Caenorhabditis elegans: one gene and its partner. The protein of the gene in region 1 interacts with the protein of each later gene in a pairwise test. Each region holds a gene or a part of one and is shown in the gene's direction. Other genes may lie near its edges.

Region 1 (7,918 bases):
ATAAAGCATTTATAACAAAATTAAGATCCATATTTACTCCCCATTTTTAGACTTCAAATTTGAAAAATTGGCACACTGGCGCTACTCCACATTTCATTTGTATATTTAAAGTAAGCCTCATGTATACCATATGACTGCCTACCACGTGTCAACTGGCAATTACTGTCATAGTGAGAAATGCGTTAACACAGTTCACCTCATCAAAATTCAGAAGGCATACGGTAGGCATGCACATAGGTAGGTAGAAGGCAAATACTTTTCTAGTGATAAGATATTCATGCTGTATGCTTTTATATTTCGCAACATTTTCTTAATTCTCGCAGTGACTATCCTTTTATCGTCTTTTCTCGGTTCGGTTCCTTTTTCTTTTCTTTTTTTTTCATCCTTCATCCCATTCAATCTTCTCCATTTTCGATTTGAATCTAACAGGTTCTTTGCATCTTTTTCATCTCTCACTGCTTCTTCTTTTTTCTCTTTCTGATTCAAAACTGTTACTGTCACTCAGTTCCTATCCCTCCTCACAGTAACATTTGTTGTGTGTGTGTTTTGTTGGCTTTACAGCCAAATCGAGGAATTGTACGAGAGATGATAAGGAATTGAGAGGGATTAGAGAAAATGAGAAGCGTATGCATGTATGTGTCATATTCACTGCATATTTTATCACTTTTCTCTTCTTTTCTCCACTTTTTTCTGATATACACAGCTGATTTCTGTAGATTTGAAGCAATTACGATAAGAGAGCACAATGAAGTGCTCTTGAGATTTCATTAGCTCTTCCAATTTGTCTGAGAAATCCAAATTTCACGGTCATCTATGGCGTCACATGTGTGCTACATAATGTTTCTTTCCAGGTTATTTCGGCCCTAAATTTTAGATTATCTGCACTTTTCCGATTTTGATCTACAGAAAATGTGCCAGACTTCCAAGTGTGAATTCCATGTGAAGTCGCACTATGGAGGACTCAATTTTCGACTGCGTATACTAGCCGCAATTTCTGGAAATCATACTTAGATTACTTAACTTCAAAAACAACTTTTCAACCTAAACTTTATTCTTCCATTATGATGTCACCAGGTACTTTCCCAAATAACCAATCATCAAAATCCAATTGACTTTGTTCAAAAAGTCAAAATCATAACCTGTATTAATAATTATTTATTAATAAATCTTGAGATATAAATCTCAAAAATTCCTTCTTTCCCCCTAATCAATTGTGAATCTTTAATGATAGTCGTCTAGTTTGATTAATGTGATCTGTGTATAACTGGTGGCCAATATCAGTTTCTGGTGATCAATGTTTTGTTAACTTTTTCTAGTTTAGATCGAGCTCGAACTAGGTAACGTGATGAAAATTGTGTCGAATGCTTTCTGCCAAAATGGGAAAACCTATATAAAATGTGTTAATAAACTGGTGTTTTTTATTTCTATGCTAAGCTTCCTCGAAATAGATAAACATCGGGCAAGGATTTTTGTTGGGTTTTTAATGATTTCATAACGGGAAAACGTTATGAAATCATTAGAAACCCAACAAAAATCCTTACCCGATCCTATAAGTCCATCGAGCCAATTTTCGAAAAAATAACGGTGTTTGTACTTGTCACGGCCACGTAGTAAGCATCGAGAGTTGTATTATAATGTTGTTAAAATTTTAAAATTTTTAGTGTTGTACTTTTGTTTTCAGGCGCGAACCTTTTTTGGCGAGATAGATCGACAAAAAACCAAAATCCAATTCCAATCTTTTTTTTCTCGCCAACCCAAACATCCCCCATTTTTTGACAAAAACATAACCGGTTTTTTTATTTAATCTATTAAAAATTCAGCGAGCGAGGTAAAGATTAGTCATGGTATTTCCCCCATTTAAATCTCGACGCAATCTGTTTCTTTCTCTTTACTCTTACCTTTTCTTTTTTTCAATTTTCTCATCTCGCGTCCGCCCAACAGAAACCATGATGATCAAGTTGACCTCGAACTGTGTACCGTTCTTCTATTGAATAAGAGAGATCTCCGTCTACTCACTACTCTCACAAGAGTATTTCTGTTCACTATTCTTTTTTTCTCTGAACTTCTGTGACTGAATGCACTCTCGGCACCAAATGAGAGAGATGCCTTACGAGGGCGCGTACTTCCTTTTACCTACATGTATGTCTACCGAAACAAACAATATGAGGCAAATTTTCATGGCTTTTGCTAATTTCACTTTCATAGTCCCTGTTACAAGCATATTATTTAGGTCAGGTGCTTGAAGTTTCAATTGATAATTTTGAGAATTTGTAAACTCGTCTAGTAATTTAAAACTCATTCAGATTCTGTATAATGTAACACAAAATCGAAATTCAGGTAAAGCTCGATTATCCGGTCCCGACAAGACAAATTTGTGTTAAATGCAAAAGAGTATGCGTCTTCAAAGAGTACTGTAGTTTCTACCTCTGCCGTTTTGATTGAGTTTCAATAGTTTTTCTCCCGATTCCTAAAAATTGCATGTGTTTATTTTAGTTTTTCAGTAGAGATTAAATTCGTTTTCCATCGAAAACTCCGTATCAAAGATCAATGAAGTTTCCGCAGCTACGAGGAGTTCGAGGTTACAGTACTCTTTAAAGGCGCACACCCATTCACATTTAACAGAACATTTTCGTTTCGAGACCGGCTACCGTATATATGGGGCAAAATGTTGCATTTTAACGCTCCTCATCGTCAATTTTCCCTGTCTAATTTATTTAGAGTGCTTTTAAAGTTAACTTTGAAAATATTATTAGAGAGTGACTGTGATGGGCAAACAGTCTAACGGAACAATCTTTCATTCCTCGACAATTGCTGAGTCTCGCCACGAACAAGTCAGAAGACATAGCATATTCTTGAGAAAAGCCTTCAGTCCGATTTCACTTTCCATTGTTCCTTCCTCTCACACGCCTTCAGCATCTTCTTCTTCTCGCCACAAGCTTCTCACTTTCCAATCGAATAAATAAATCGTGTTTGACCCATAGCGTGAAAATCCCATGAAATAACCTTTCGTTTTCTAACTTTTTTATTTGAACTTTGTTTTAATTGTTCCTAGTTTCTACATATTGTATTTCTCGAGAAATTTCTCTCATCTTGCCAGTAAAAAAGTGTGAGTAGAATTTTTTTGAACTTCTGAACGCAGCGCATTGGCTATATTTTAGTTTTGTGAGTAAAACTCTTGACCTCCAATTCGTCGAAAAACGGTTGTAAATTTTAGTACTATTACATCGGGCTCATGATATCTCAGGATAGAGTCTACCTGACAAAACAGAGGAAATCGGTATCGAATTGCAACAACAAAAAGTGCCAATCAAAATCTCCAATTTCTTTCAATTTTCTCAGACAGACTAGGCTAATTTTTATATTTTCTTACACTTGTCCTTTATGTCTTGAAATTTCTCGGTTTTTTTTCGATTTCGGTAGAAATATTACACTTTTAACCGGTTTGGAGATTAATTTTCAGCACAGCACAAGGCTGAACAAGTAAAACCGAGGTCAACGATAGATTGTGTTTCTTAATTTATTTTCAAATTATGACTTCTTTTTAAGATTTTGTGAAAAGTCAATTCTTGTGCGGAAATAAAAATTATTTTTTGGTCGTATCGTTTTTATCGATAGAGCGTATTTTCATGTGAAACACCACGGTGCGCAAATTGTATTTTATTCCGTAGAAACTCTTTTGTCGAGTTCAAACTCTGAAAACTTCTTATTTTTCCATTTTCTCGGCGTTAAAATTGCATATTTAATTTTTAAAACTTTTTTCTTTTTGTAGTATTCAGTTTTTATAATCGATCTCTCTAAATGCATCTAATTGCTTATTCCCCGAATGAGACTTTCCCAGTTTAGTAGTGCCTCCGATAGCCAATTTTAAACAAATATTCTGAAATTTTAATTTTTCTTGTTTTTCGCGAAAAAACTGTCATTTTCTTTATTATTCTCTTTTTTAACCGCTTTCCAAATTAATTCGGCTATTTTTCAGACGTTCGCTTCGGGTCGATGTCAGAATAAACGAAAAAGAATAACCCGTTGCACCCAGCGAATCGTCGAACATTTTCAATACTCACCCATATCAGTCACCCAAAACGGATTTATTATTATTATTAGAGCATGTGAGTTCGTTGAATTTGTGAATTTATTCTATAAATCTACAATTTCAGATCATCCACATTTATTCTCAAACGCGTGATGCGTATATCGATAGGCCGGATAGCATGGCAAATTCTGGCAGTTTTAATCGCAGTTGCATTCACTATTGAACATGATTCCGTAAGTTATTCAATCAACTCTAAAATACTTATTATACTTTTCAGATTTGCGATGAAAGTATAGGTGCCTGTGGGGAACCAATACATACCGTAATACGTTTAGCAAAAAGAGATGATGAGCTTGCACGGCGAATAGCTGCTGATCATGACATGCATGTAAAAGGTGATCCGTTTTTGGATACTCACTACTTCCTTTATCACTCGGAAACAACAAGGACACGGCGACATAAAAGAGCGATTGTTGAACGATTGGATTCACATCCAGCCGTCGAATGGGTTGAAGAACAGCGACCGAAGAAGAGAGTCAAAAGAGATTATATTCTCCTGGATAATGTTAGTTTTTTAGAAATATTCAACCTACATGATATTTATCCAGAATCATTACCGTTTTTCTTTTTATCTTAGCTTTAGAGTTTTTTCTGACAATTAATATTTTTCAGGATGTTCATCATTCTAACCCCTTCCGCCGTTCGGTTTTGAACCGTGATGGTACTCGTAGAGCTCAACGACAGCAGCCACAGTCTCCACGAGAAATTCCATCACTTCCATTTCCTGATCCACTTTATAAAGACCAGTGGTATTTGGTGAGTTTCAAATTCAAATTTTCTTTAAAGAGAAAAAAAAACCAACTGATACATTTACAGCATGGTGGAGCAGTTGGTGGATATGATATGAATGTTCGTCAAGCGTGGCTTCAAGGATATGCAGGCAGAAATGTTTCAGTTTCGATTCTTGACGATGGAATTCAAAGAGATCATCCTGATTTGGCAGCGAACTACGATCCACTCGCGTCAACAGATATCAATGATCACGATGATGATCCAACACCACAAAACAATGGAGATAACAAGTAAGAATTTTTAAACACATGTTCTTCAGAAATTTATGACATTTAATTGTTTTAGACATGGTACAAGATGTGCTGGAGAAGTAGCTGCACTCGCCGGAAACAATCAATGTGGTGTCGGTGTTGCCTTCAAAGCAAAAATAGGAGGAGTTCGTATGCTTGATGGAGCTGTTTCGGATTCTGTCGAAGCTGCGTCATTGTCTTTGAATCAAGATCATATTGATATATACTCAGCATCATGGGGACCTGAAGACGACGGAAAGACTTTTGATGGTCCAGGTCCACTTGCCCGAGAAGCTTTTTATCGTGGAATCAAGAATGGCAGAGGTGGAAAAGGAAACATTTTTGTATGGGCCAGTGGAAACGGTGGATCAAGGTATTTTAGTTTTGAAAAGAGAATTTTGTGAACAAGAATGTTTAGGCAAGACTCATGTTCAGCTGATGGTTACACAACTTCAGTCTACACGCTTTCCATATCTTCGGCTACTTATGATAATCACAGGTATGATTTTATATTACTATAAACCCTTAATTTGTCTGAATGAAAATTGATATTCTGAAGATAAAAAATGGATTTTCTACTATCAAATTCTTATTCTACTTGTCTACAGACCATGGTATTTGGAAGAATGCCCATCATCAATTGCAACAACATACAGTTCTGCGGATTTCCGTCAACCAGCAATTGTGACCGTTGATGTTCCTGGAGGATGTACTGATAAGCATACAGGAACTTCTGCGTCTGCTCCATTGGCAGCTGGAATTATTGCTCTTGCTTTAGAGGCTAAGTTAGTTTATTAATTCCAGAAAACTTGCTCACTGTTTTTTTTTAATTTCAGTCCTGAATTAACATGGCGTGATATGCAACATCTTGTTCTTCGAACCGCCAACTGGAAACCACTTGAGAATAATCCTGGATGGTCAAGAAATGGTGTTGGACGTATGGTTAGCAATAAATTCGGTTATGGTCTAATCGATGGTGGTGCACTTGTCAATATGGCAAAAACATGGAAGACAGTCCCAGAGCAGCACATTTGCACATATGAATACAGACTTGCTAATCCAAAGTAGGTTCAATCATAGATTTCTCTGGAAAAAATACGATCATTACAGTCCTCGGCCAATTGTGGGTCGTTTCCAACTTAATTTCACTTTAGATGTGAATGGATGCGAGTCAGGAACCCCTGTTTTATATTTGGAACACGTTCAAGTGCATGCTACTGGTCAGTTTTCAATTGATACTGTTCTCTACAAATCTTATCAAATTGAATTCAGTTCGATATCTGAAACGTGGCGATCTGAAGCTTACGCTCTTCTCACCATCCGGCACCCGATCGGTTCTTCTTCCACCACGACCACAAGATTTCAATGCTAACGGATTCCACAAGTGGCCTTTCCTTTCAGTCCAACAATGGGGAGAAGATCCACGTGGAACATGGCTTCTCATGGTGGAATCAGTCACCACTAATCCAGCTGCTACTGGTGAGAATTTATTTAAATGTATACACACACACACACACACACATCGAGAATACGCTAAGAAATGCATTATTTCTATCAGGACTGTTGCAAAAAAAATGTTCGACCAAAAAGTTTTTTATTTGAAATTTGGACCAAAAAACACGAATATATGAAAAAACCAACAAAAAAATCGATTTTCGATTTTAAACCGGACACAACGGAAATTTTTCATAAAACATTAAAATTTGAACGAACGGAAGGATTTTCGTTTTTCTTTTTTTTTTTAATGAAAAATCCATTTTTCCCAAAAAAACGACAGCTCTGATTTCTATTTAAAAAATATGTTCGCCTTTGAAGAGTACTGTAAGTTCAAACTTTTGTTGCTGCTGAATTTTGGTTGATTTTTTCATAGTTTTTCAATAAGACCATATTTATTTATTTAAAAAAAACGCAAATTTTTAGCGGTTAACAAAAATTTGTCGTGCTGAGACCGGTTTCGATACTTCTGGCGTAAAATTTCGTGACTAGGTAATAGTAAAAAATTCAAAATTGAAGCGAAAAATTTCCCTATAAATATTTGAACCATATATGGTGATTTCAGGTACGTTCCACGATTGGACTCTTCTTCTTTATGGAACTGCTGATCCAGCTCAATCAGGTGATCCTGTCTACTCGGCTACTCCTGCAACATCCCAAGGAGTTCTCTCACGCGTTCATCAACTCACTTCTCAGGTACGCACATTTTTCGGAGGATTCGGATAGAATCATATTGTTCTTTGTGTGTGTGTTGTGTTGTCTCCTTTGTTTTTATTTTCATATTTAGGGGCCCTTGAATTCAAACTGATTTACCCTTCCCCTCTTCTCACTTTCTATCTAATTTGGTTTCGGTGATAGTTGTGTTTTAATTTTGAAAATTCCCAACCCACAGAGTGTGTGTGCTTGCGAGTGTGTGAGCCTGGTGTGATAATCAATTTTCAAATTGAAAAATTGAAAAAATCAACAAAATGCCTAATTTTCTCATAATTATTCATCGTCCTTACCTCTGCCACAATTTTCAGTTTATTCATGTTTCTATTCATAATTTCCTTGTGTATGTATCTGTATGTCTCTATGTAAATGTGTCGCTGACTTTTTAATGTTTCTTGTGAACTCGTCTTCGTCTATGTTCTTGTTGTTATTGTGATGTGAATCAACTTTTTAATTAAAAAGAGAATTGATTAACAGTTATATTTATTTCTTTATTTCTTTAATTTCTTTGTTCAACTAGACGTCCACATTGTTTTCTGCAGTGAAGCGACAACTACTCCCACATAGTTTTTTTAAATCTAATAAAATTTCCATTTTTTCA
Region 2 (7,918 bases), on another chromosome or scaffold:
ACGTGATGTTTCGATCATTTTTCCTTGCTAACTCACATTTCTCACACTTTCATCATAAGATCATGAGGAACGGAAAAATGTTTAAATGATCTTAGGCTTAGGCTTAGGCTTAGGCTTAGGCTCAGGCGTAGGTTAAGGCTTAGGCTTACAATTAGGCTTAGGCTTAGGCTAAGATTTAGGCTCAAATCTATTTTATTCCCGAAATTTCATAAGTTTCGTCGGTTTCTGTATCTTAAAATTTTTCTCTTTGAATCTTCAAAAATATCACCACACAAAAATTGCCAAATTCCGGTCCTTCTCCATGTCCACTTGATACATTATGTTTGATGGCTACTGTCACATATCAACGCCTTCTGATATGTCCGGTGTTGTCTATGTCTCTTCGTCGTTTTTAATAATTATGAGAAAAATTGAAAGAATTCTGAAGGCGTCGTCCACTACATAGCTTCCATGTGATGACGATTTCTAGAATTTAAAATTTCAAAATTTCAGAAATATGCCCTACAAAATTCCCGCCAGTACTATAAATATAGTTGGCGCCCTATAAACAGTCCTTTCAATTTTCCCCCATCTTTGACCCTCACATTTTTCATTTTTCTATTTTCCTTCAATTGACATTTACTGATAAGAAACTTATGAAAAGCGGAATACATGAACGATTTTTGATGAAATCATGCTGAGTCAGAAGTTCAAGTGACATGTGTTTTTTTCTATTTGTTTGTTTTAATAACTTACTCGTTGTGCATTTGAACTTGATGTTCTCACCGGAACAGGCGACACGTGACCTTACAGCAACTGATAATATACCGTATTTTACCCGTAGCTCATATCTTGGCGGTTCTAGGAATTATCAAATATTTTCTGTAAGAGAAGGTTCCTGATGCTCTCGAAACTACAGTAGTCGATAGTATACCATACTTCCTCGAATAGTAGTGCAACCCATAAATTCATCTTGGCGGTCCTAGGAATGATCAAAAATTGCCAAGTTTTTATTATTAATTTTTGTTTAGTAAAAAGTTTTAATTGGTTGAGATATCAGTAAAGTTTATTAGACTCAAAATTGTCAGAAAACACCGAATTTGATAATGAAACTTTTTGAAAAATGCTGAAAAAAGTTTTAAAAAAAGTTATGGCGGCTCAAAAAATGACCTCAAATTAGTTGAATTTTGAAATTTGACCAACTTGTCTATGTCGCAAGTTACCAAATCTGGTGATCCTTCGACCTTAATTGTACTCAAGTTGAGTTGAAAAAGAAAAATAATTGATTTCCATACCTAAAATTAGACGGTGATTTCAAAAAAAAATAGTTTCCAGCCGCTTGACAAGTCTGTCAAATTTCAAATTTTAACCTATTTTAAGTCATTTTTTGAGCCGCCATAACCTTTTTTTTGAGAAGTTTTAAAGAAGTTTAATTATGAAATTTCGTGTTTTCAAACAATATAGAGTCTAATAAAGCAATTTTTAAAAAATTGACTAAAGCACCTTTAAGTGCGAGACTAATATAGAAAATACGACATGGTCGCTGTGGCTAAAAGTAGATCTTTTTGCACAGGTTACGTTACTAAGCGCTCTTACAGTAACCTTTCACTAATCCTATAAGTTTTGTGAGTGAACTCGCTGACCTTGGCAAGATTTTTAAATTTTGAAGCTCTTTGAGCCATCATAAGGAGTCAAAATTTGCCCAGCTCGGCAAACTCCAAAAAAAAATTTTAAAAAGTTTTAATGATATTTCTAGGAGCTCCAAAATTACTAAATTCTTAGCACAAGTTTAATTTTTGAATACCTCAATTTTATGTTTTTTTACTATAATTTTTTGAACAAAATCAATAGTTTCGGTCAATTTTTTAAAATCCAATTTGAGGTGTTTGCGGCAAATTCGCCACAATTGCCGCACACTCCTAATAAGGTCATTTCTAATTGCAGTACTTCTCCGGAATACATTTCACGAAACTGTATCACAAACTAGAATGACGTCTCCCCCTTATCACACTTTCACTCCTCCTCCTCCTCCGTCGACATGTATATAAATTTTATGAAAAAGCCCCGACATTTAATCACGAAAATGCTGACACTTTTTTAAGACACCTATACTGATAAAGAGTTCGGTTCACATTACGTCCTTTTCACTTTACTTGATCTCTCTTTTTTTTTGTCTCAACTCTATCATTTTTCCAACAAAAAAAAACTAGTTTCTCATATGTGTGGGAGGTGTGTAAATCATCTCGGCCTCCTTTTTTTCTTTCTTTTTTTGTCTTTTTTCGAAACAATTTCCGTTTCACATTTTCTGCACTTTTATTGCTTTCTTCAGTTCTCTAGAAAATATTTTTAAATTACCTAATATTTTTCCACGTGATATTGTTGCTACTTATGTTATCACATGAGCCTTTTAAAGGGCATCTAATAATATTTTTTTTATATATAAATTGTATTAAAATCAGAGATCAAGCGATCAGAAGATGATTTTTTTAAAGGATTCTTATTTTTTTCCTAAGAATCTTGTAGATCACAATTTTTGAACACAAATTAATTTGAAGCTTAAGCCTAAGCCTAGGCCTACGCCTAAGCCTAAGCATTAGCCTCATCTTAAGCCTAAGTAAAATGTTTTTGTAAAAATTCTGATGAGTTCTAAAAAATCACTAATTATTTTGTTGACTCCTTCTTTCCCCAACTAGTTTGAAAAAGTTCAATTCAAGCCCTGAAAATTTGTACCTTTTTTTTTGTAGTTCCTCCCTAGTTTCCACAACTTTTCTGGGAGTTTGTCGAAAAAATAATAATGTAGCCAAAAAGTAGAGAATACCGGAAATTCGACCCCAAAAAATTCAAATTTTCAACAACTTTTTTCTGAGATTTTTGAAGGATTTTTGATGGATGAAAACACAAAATACTTGATCTTTACATTTTCTCAACTTATTTTTTGAAGTTCAAGACATAGAATTTGTGTCTTTTTGAATTCAGAAGACCATTTAGAGGCAGTCTTATGTCCATCTCTCGCCTACATAAACGGCACATCAAACGATCTTGACCAAAGTTTTGTTTCACCTTTTTATTTTCTAGAAGTCTGCCAAAGTCTGTAAATTAAAATTAATTAAATTCCCAGTAGCTTAACAATAATTTTTACACTTTCGCCTCGTTTACAGGGAGGTAGATCAAAATCGTTTTTTTTTTCCTTCACTTTTCACTTGCAAGTCTCTCGTTTTTGCTAGATAGATAGATGCTTGATGGCAGGAAATACAATCTGGTTCTTCTTCTGCTTTTCCTTCATTGACTATCTATAATCTCTCTCCTCGTGTTTCTTATTATGCGCTTGTGAATTTTTTTTGAATGCCTCACATTTTCAGTCTTGCAATTCTTATTGCTTTGCAGAAAGCAATAAGAATTTTTTTTGAAGTTTTTTTTTCTGTTGAAAAGTTTCCAATTTTTTGTAAGAATTTGTTTGCTTTTTTGCTTTTTTGAACTTTTGGCATGAATTTTTTGGTTTTTCATATAACTTTTTCCTGGAATTTTTTTCCAAAAAACTTAAAAATTTGTGCAAAGCGGAGTTTTCAAGCTAATTTCTTTTTATCTTGTTAAAACTGATTTTTTTTTGAAAATTTTATGTCAAAATTTTTTTCATAAAAGTTGTAGAAGCTTAAAATTAAATGTTTACCTAATTTAAGAACCACTTGAGGTTTTTTTCAGAAATTGTATTTTTGAAAAATAAAATATAAAATTTTTCGATTTTTTGAAAATTTTCTAAACTTTTTTAAGGCAAAAAATATTTTTTTTTCTATTCTTTTTAATCTAAAAATTGCCGGATTTTTTTTGAATTAAACGATGAAATTTGAAGAAAAAAAATCTGGCATTTAAGTCGGTATTTTTTGAAAAATAACTGAAAATTAAAAAAAAATTTTTTGGAAAAAAATCCAAAAAAATACAGATTTTGAAAATATTCACGAAATTTCACTGGCTTTGAAACTTTAAAAAATGCACTGAAAACCTTCGAATTTTTCAATTCAAAGTACTAACTTTTTCATAAGAATCTAATTTTAGAAAAAAATGTATTTCTATTGAAATACGTCCAAAAGTAAGCTGGCTCGCGGAGCTCTTGGAGCTTCATATCCAAAAAAAAAACAAATTCCTGCATGACTCGAAAGATCTTTGATTTTTAAAAATTTGCATAAAAAAATCTTGCGACCTTCCTTCCCACTCAATTTTTTTCCTTTTTTTCCTATCAGCCAGAACGTTTTCCCATATTCAATTTTGTTCTCCATTTCCTTTTCCTATTCTCCTGTTTATTGTGTTCCTTATTCTCTTTTTTCACCCCATTTTTGTCTTGTTTATTTGTTTGTCAAAACGCATTCCACCGCTCCCCAGTCTTTGTGTTGTTCTTTGAAAGGGGACAACAAAAAAAATCGCGGAACTAAGTAACTAAGTTTTTCATTTTGAAATTTCGCTGCTCTTGTCAGAGTGTCCCACGTCGTTTTGATCTACGAAAATCTACAAAAATTGCGGGAATTTTTGGTAGATCAAACCTTGATGGGACAGCCTGACACACATACACGTGCCGTACTCATTTCTCTTAATTCCCGTTAAATATATTTTTTGAAATCTCTAGAACTATGACAATCTCAATGATATCTCCGTCATCAATCCGCCTATCCAGTGACAAACGTGACTCTTCCTCATCCAACCTGCCCGCCAACATCGAAGAGGACACCCAGTCGGTGTCCTCTTCGGATTCTGGAGTATCTGCCGACTCTATTGACCACCATCATCACGGTCATGGGCATGGGCACTCTCATGGGGGTCATGGGCACTCACACACACACAATAATGATGATTCCTCTTCGGATTGTAGTGGAGCAGGAGGAGGAGCGCATAAGCATAGTCATGATGAGAAATATCAAAAGGTACATAGCAAATTTTTTTGCAACATGGCTCAACTTTTACCTCTATTAAAATGACCATTATATTAAAACTAAATTTTTCAAAAAATGTTGCTTTTAATTTTAATTATTGCTATCTATGTAAAAAGCCCAAAATCGACCATTTTAGCATAAAAATGTGTTTTTTTTAAAATCAAGCCAAAACACGAGCTCGCAATTATACATATCAGAGGAAATTTTCAACTCCGGCAATTTGCCGATTTGCCGGAAATTTTCAATTCCGGTAATTTGACGATTTGTCGGAAATTTCCAATTCCGGCAATTCGCCGATTTGCCGGCAATTTTCAATTCCGGCAATTTGTCGATTTGCCGATTTGCCGGCAATTTGTCGATTTGCCAGAAATGTTCAATTTCGGCAATTTGTCGATTTGCCGGAAATTTTCAATTCCGGCAATTTGTCGATTTGCCGGAAATTTCAATTCCGGCAATTTGTCGATTTGCCGATTTGCCAAAAATTTTCAATTCCGGCAATTTGGCGATTTGCCGGAAAAAATCGTTTGCCGCCCACAAATATCTAGCAATACGACGACTTCCTGTGAATTGAATATTTCATCCTAAAATGTTGAAAAATATTGGAAAAGTGTCGAAAATTTCAATAACTGATTTTTTTTCCAAATTTAAATTAGTTTCCCTGAAAATGTTCTTGAAAAATTGCAATTTTATTTGAAATATATAAAAATCAAGGCATTTTTCAGTTAGCGGGACGTTTTTTTGACAAAAATGCGAAAAAAAAACGCAAAAAATATGACAAGAATTTATACATTTGAATATTTTTCTGAAAAAATCAAAACATTATTTGACGCGCAAAATATTTCGACGCGAAAACTACAGTAATTCTTTGAATGACTACTGTAGTGTCGATTTACGCGGCTCTATGTTCATAGATTTATCGATATAATATCAAAATTAAGCAAAGAATGAAAACAAAGATAATACGAAAAAGCAAAGAAAAACTGCGCTAAAGTAGTAATTTATTGAATTACTGAATTACTACGAGATATTTTGCGCGTCAGATATGTTGTGCAATACGCAGTCTCACGTGATGTCAGAATGTCTCATTTCGGCTTTATCTACGTAGATCTACAAAAAATGCGGGAGAAGAGACGCAGAGTTCGTGCTGACGTCACATTTTTTGGGCAAAATATTCCCGCATTTTTTGTAGATCAAACCGTAATGGGACAGACAGCCTGGCACCACATGCATTCTCAGAATTCAGTGTTACCGCACAATTTTAGTAGTAATTTTTTTAAAAACACAGTGTATAACTTTAAAAAAAAACATTTTTTCGCCAAAAAAAAAATGGACATAAAATTTTTTGTTTGGATTTTCCAACTAATATTTCTCGTTTCCAGGGTCGCCGAGCAGAAAAAGTGCTATGGGCAGTTGCAGCACTATCCGCAGTCTTCATCGCCGCCGAGTTCGTCGGTGGATTCTGGGCTCAATCGCTAGCAATTATGACAGACGCCGGACACATGCTCAGTGATCTTCTCTCATTCATCATCTCAATTTTTGCGATTCGTTGTGCACGTCTTCCCGCATCGAAGCGTCTTTCATTCGGTTACGAGCGAGCCGAAGTTCTTGGTGCTCTGACGTCTGTGATCATTCTCTGGGTGCTCACGACAGTGCTCGTCGTCGTCGCTATTCAGCGAATTGTGAACAATGAGCATGAGGTGGATGCTGATGTGATGCTCATCACCGCGGGCGTCGGAGTCCTTTTTAATATCGTTATGGGATTGGTGTTGCACTTCGGAACTGGAGGTCATGGGCACACTCATGGAGGACACTCAAGTCATGGACATGCTCATGATGGAAAGAATGTGAATGTTAGAGCTGCTCTGATTCATGTCATTGGAGATTTGGTGCAATCCATTGGAGTCCTGATTGCTGCCCTTATCATTAGGTTTACCGGATGGACACTTGCCGATCCGATTTGCACATTCCTTTTCTCGATTATCGTGCTCTTCACGACGGTTACAGTTATGCGGGACATCTTTTTCGTTTTGATGGAAGCCACACCGAGCCACTATGACTTGAGTGATGTGAAGAAGGCGTTGAGTGCGTTGGAAGGTGTAAAAGGTGTTCATGATTTGCATTTATGGTCTATTGGAATGGATAAGACTGCGTTTTCGGTGCATTTGGCACTTGGTGAGTGGCTTCTCATTTTGGAGTTTTGAGTAAAACTGAGAAAATTTTGGCGGAAAATTGAAATTTTTCAATAAAGATTTTGGCGGGAATTCAAATTTTTCAATAGTTATTTTGGCGGGAATTCAAATTTACTTTTAAAAATGTTTGCCGGGAATTTCAAATTTTTAAAAAATAATTTTGGCGGGGAATTCAAATTTTTCCATTGAAGTTTCTACCGGGAAATTCAAATAATTTAAATATATATTGTGGATATAAATGCAAATTTATTCAATCAATTTTTGGCCGGAAATTCAAAATTTTAAATGAAAATTTTGAAGGGAAATTCAATTTAGAGCAAAAATTGGATTTTAAAAATTTCAAATTTTCTCTGAAAAACTTTGAATGAAATTTAAATTTTCTGAATAATTTTTGGCGGGAAATTCAAAGTTTTGATATAAAGATTTTGGAGGAAATTTAAATCTTCTGAGAATAATTTTTAACGGGAAATTCGAACATTTTTTATAGGAATTTTGGCGGGAAATTCAAAATTTTAAACTGTTAGTTTTGGCGGCAAATTCAAACTTTGGCTATAAAATTTTTGGCGGGAATTCAAACAATTTTCTTTCGAAAAATTTGCCGGGAAATCGAGTTTTCCTTTAAAAATTTTTTGGCAGGAAATTCAAATTGTCTCTCTGTTGCACGTGGGGTCAGAATGTCTTATTTCGATTTGATCTTCAAAAAATGCGGGAGTTGAGACGCATACATCTCATCTGACTTCGCATGGTTAAGAGCGTGCTGACAATTTTTCTGTAAAAATATTCCCGCATTTGTAGTAGATCAAGCCGCAATGAGACAGCCTGACACCACGT

What was found.
Region 2: the proteins of bli-4 (region 1) and ttm-1 interact in a two-hybrid assay, tested with the Caenorhabditis elegans proteins (one large-scale study listed by BioGRID).

The regions. Positions count from the first base shown.
Region 1 is NC_003279.8:6,338,255-6,346,172, forward strand, and holds the start of bli-4 (Endoprotease bli-4), read left to right. Parts: upstream 1-3,970; 5' UTR 3,971-4,106; intron 4,107-4,154; 5' UTR 4,155-4,182; coding exon 4,183-4,263; intron 4,264-4,307; coding exon 4,308-4,595; intron 4,596-4,702; coding exon 4,703-4,846; intron 4,847-4,906; coding exon 4,907-5,112; intron 5,113-5,167; coding exon 5,168-5,485; intron 5,486-5,530; coding exon 5,531-5,611; intron 5,612-5,720; coding exon 5,721-5,897; intron 5,898-5,948; coding exon 5,949-6,176; intron 6,177-6,222; coding exon 6,223-6,332; intron 6,333-6,384; coding exon 6,385-6,591; intron 6,592-7,171; coding exon 7,172-7,302; coding exon of another isoform or gene 7,303-7,332; exon of another isoform or gene 7,333-7,918. UniProt on the Caenorhabditis elegans protein: Serine endoprotease which cleaves proproteins at paired basic amino acids at the consensus RX(K/R)R motif. Involved in N-terminal processing of cuticle collagens and plays a role in cuticle biosynthesis.
Region 2 is NC_003281.10:12,953,693-12,961,610, reverse strand, and holds the start of ttm-1 (Zinc transporter ttm-1), read left to right. Parts: upstream 1-4,439; 5' UTR 4,440-4,598; coding exon 4,599-4,889; intron 4,890-6,277; coding exon 6,278-7,070; intron 7,071-7,918. UniProt on the Caenorhabditis elegans protein: Promotes excretion of zinc from intestinal cells into the intestinal lumen in response to increased dietary zinc. Involved in cadmium resistance, possibly by promoting its transport from cells.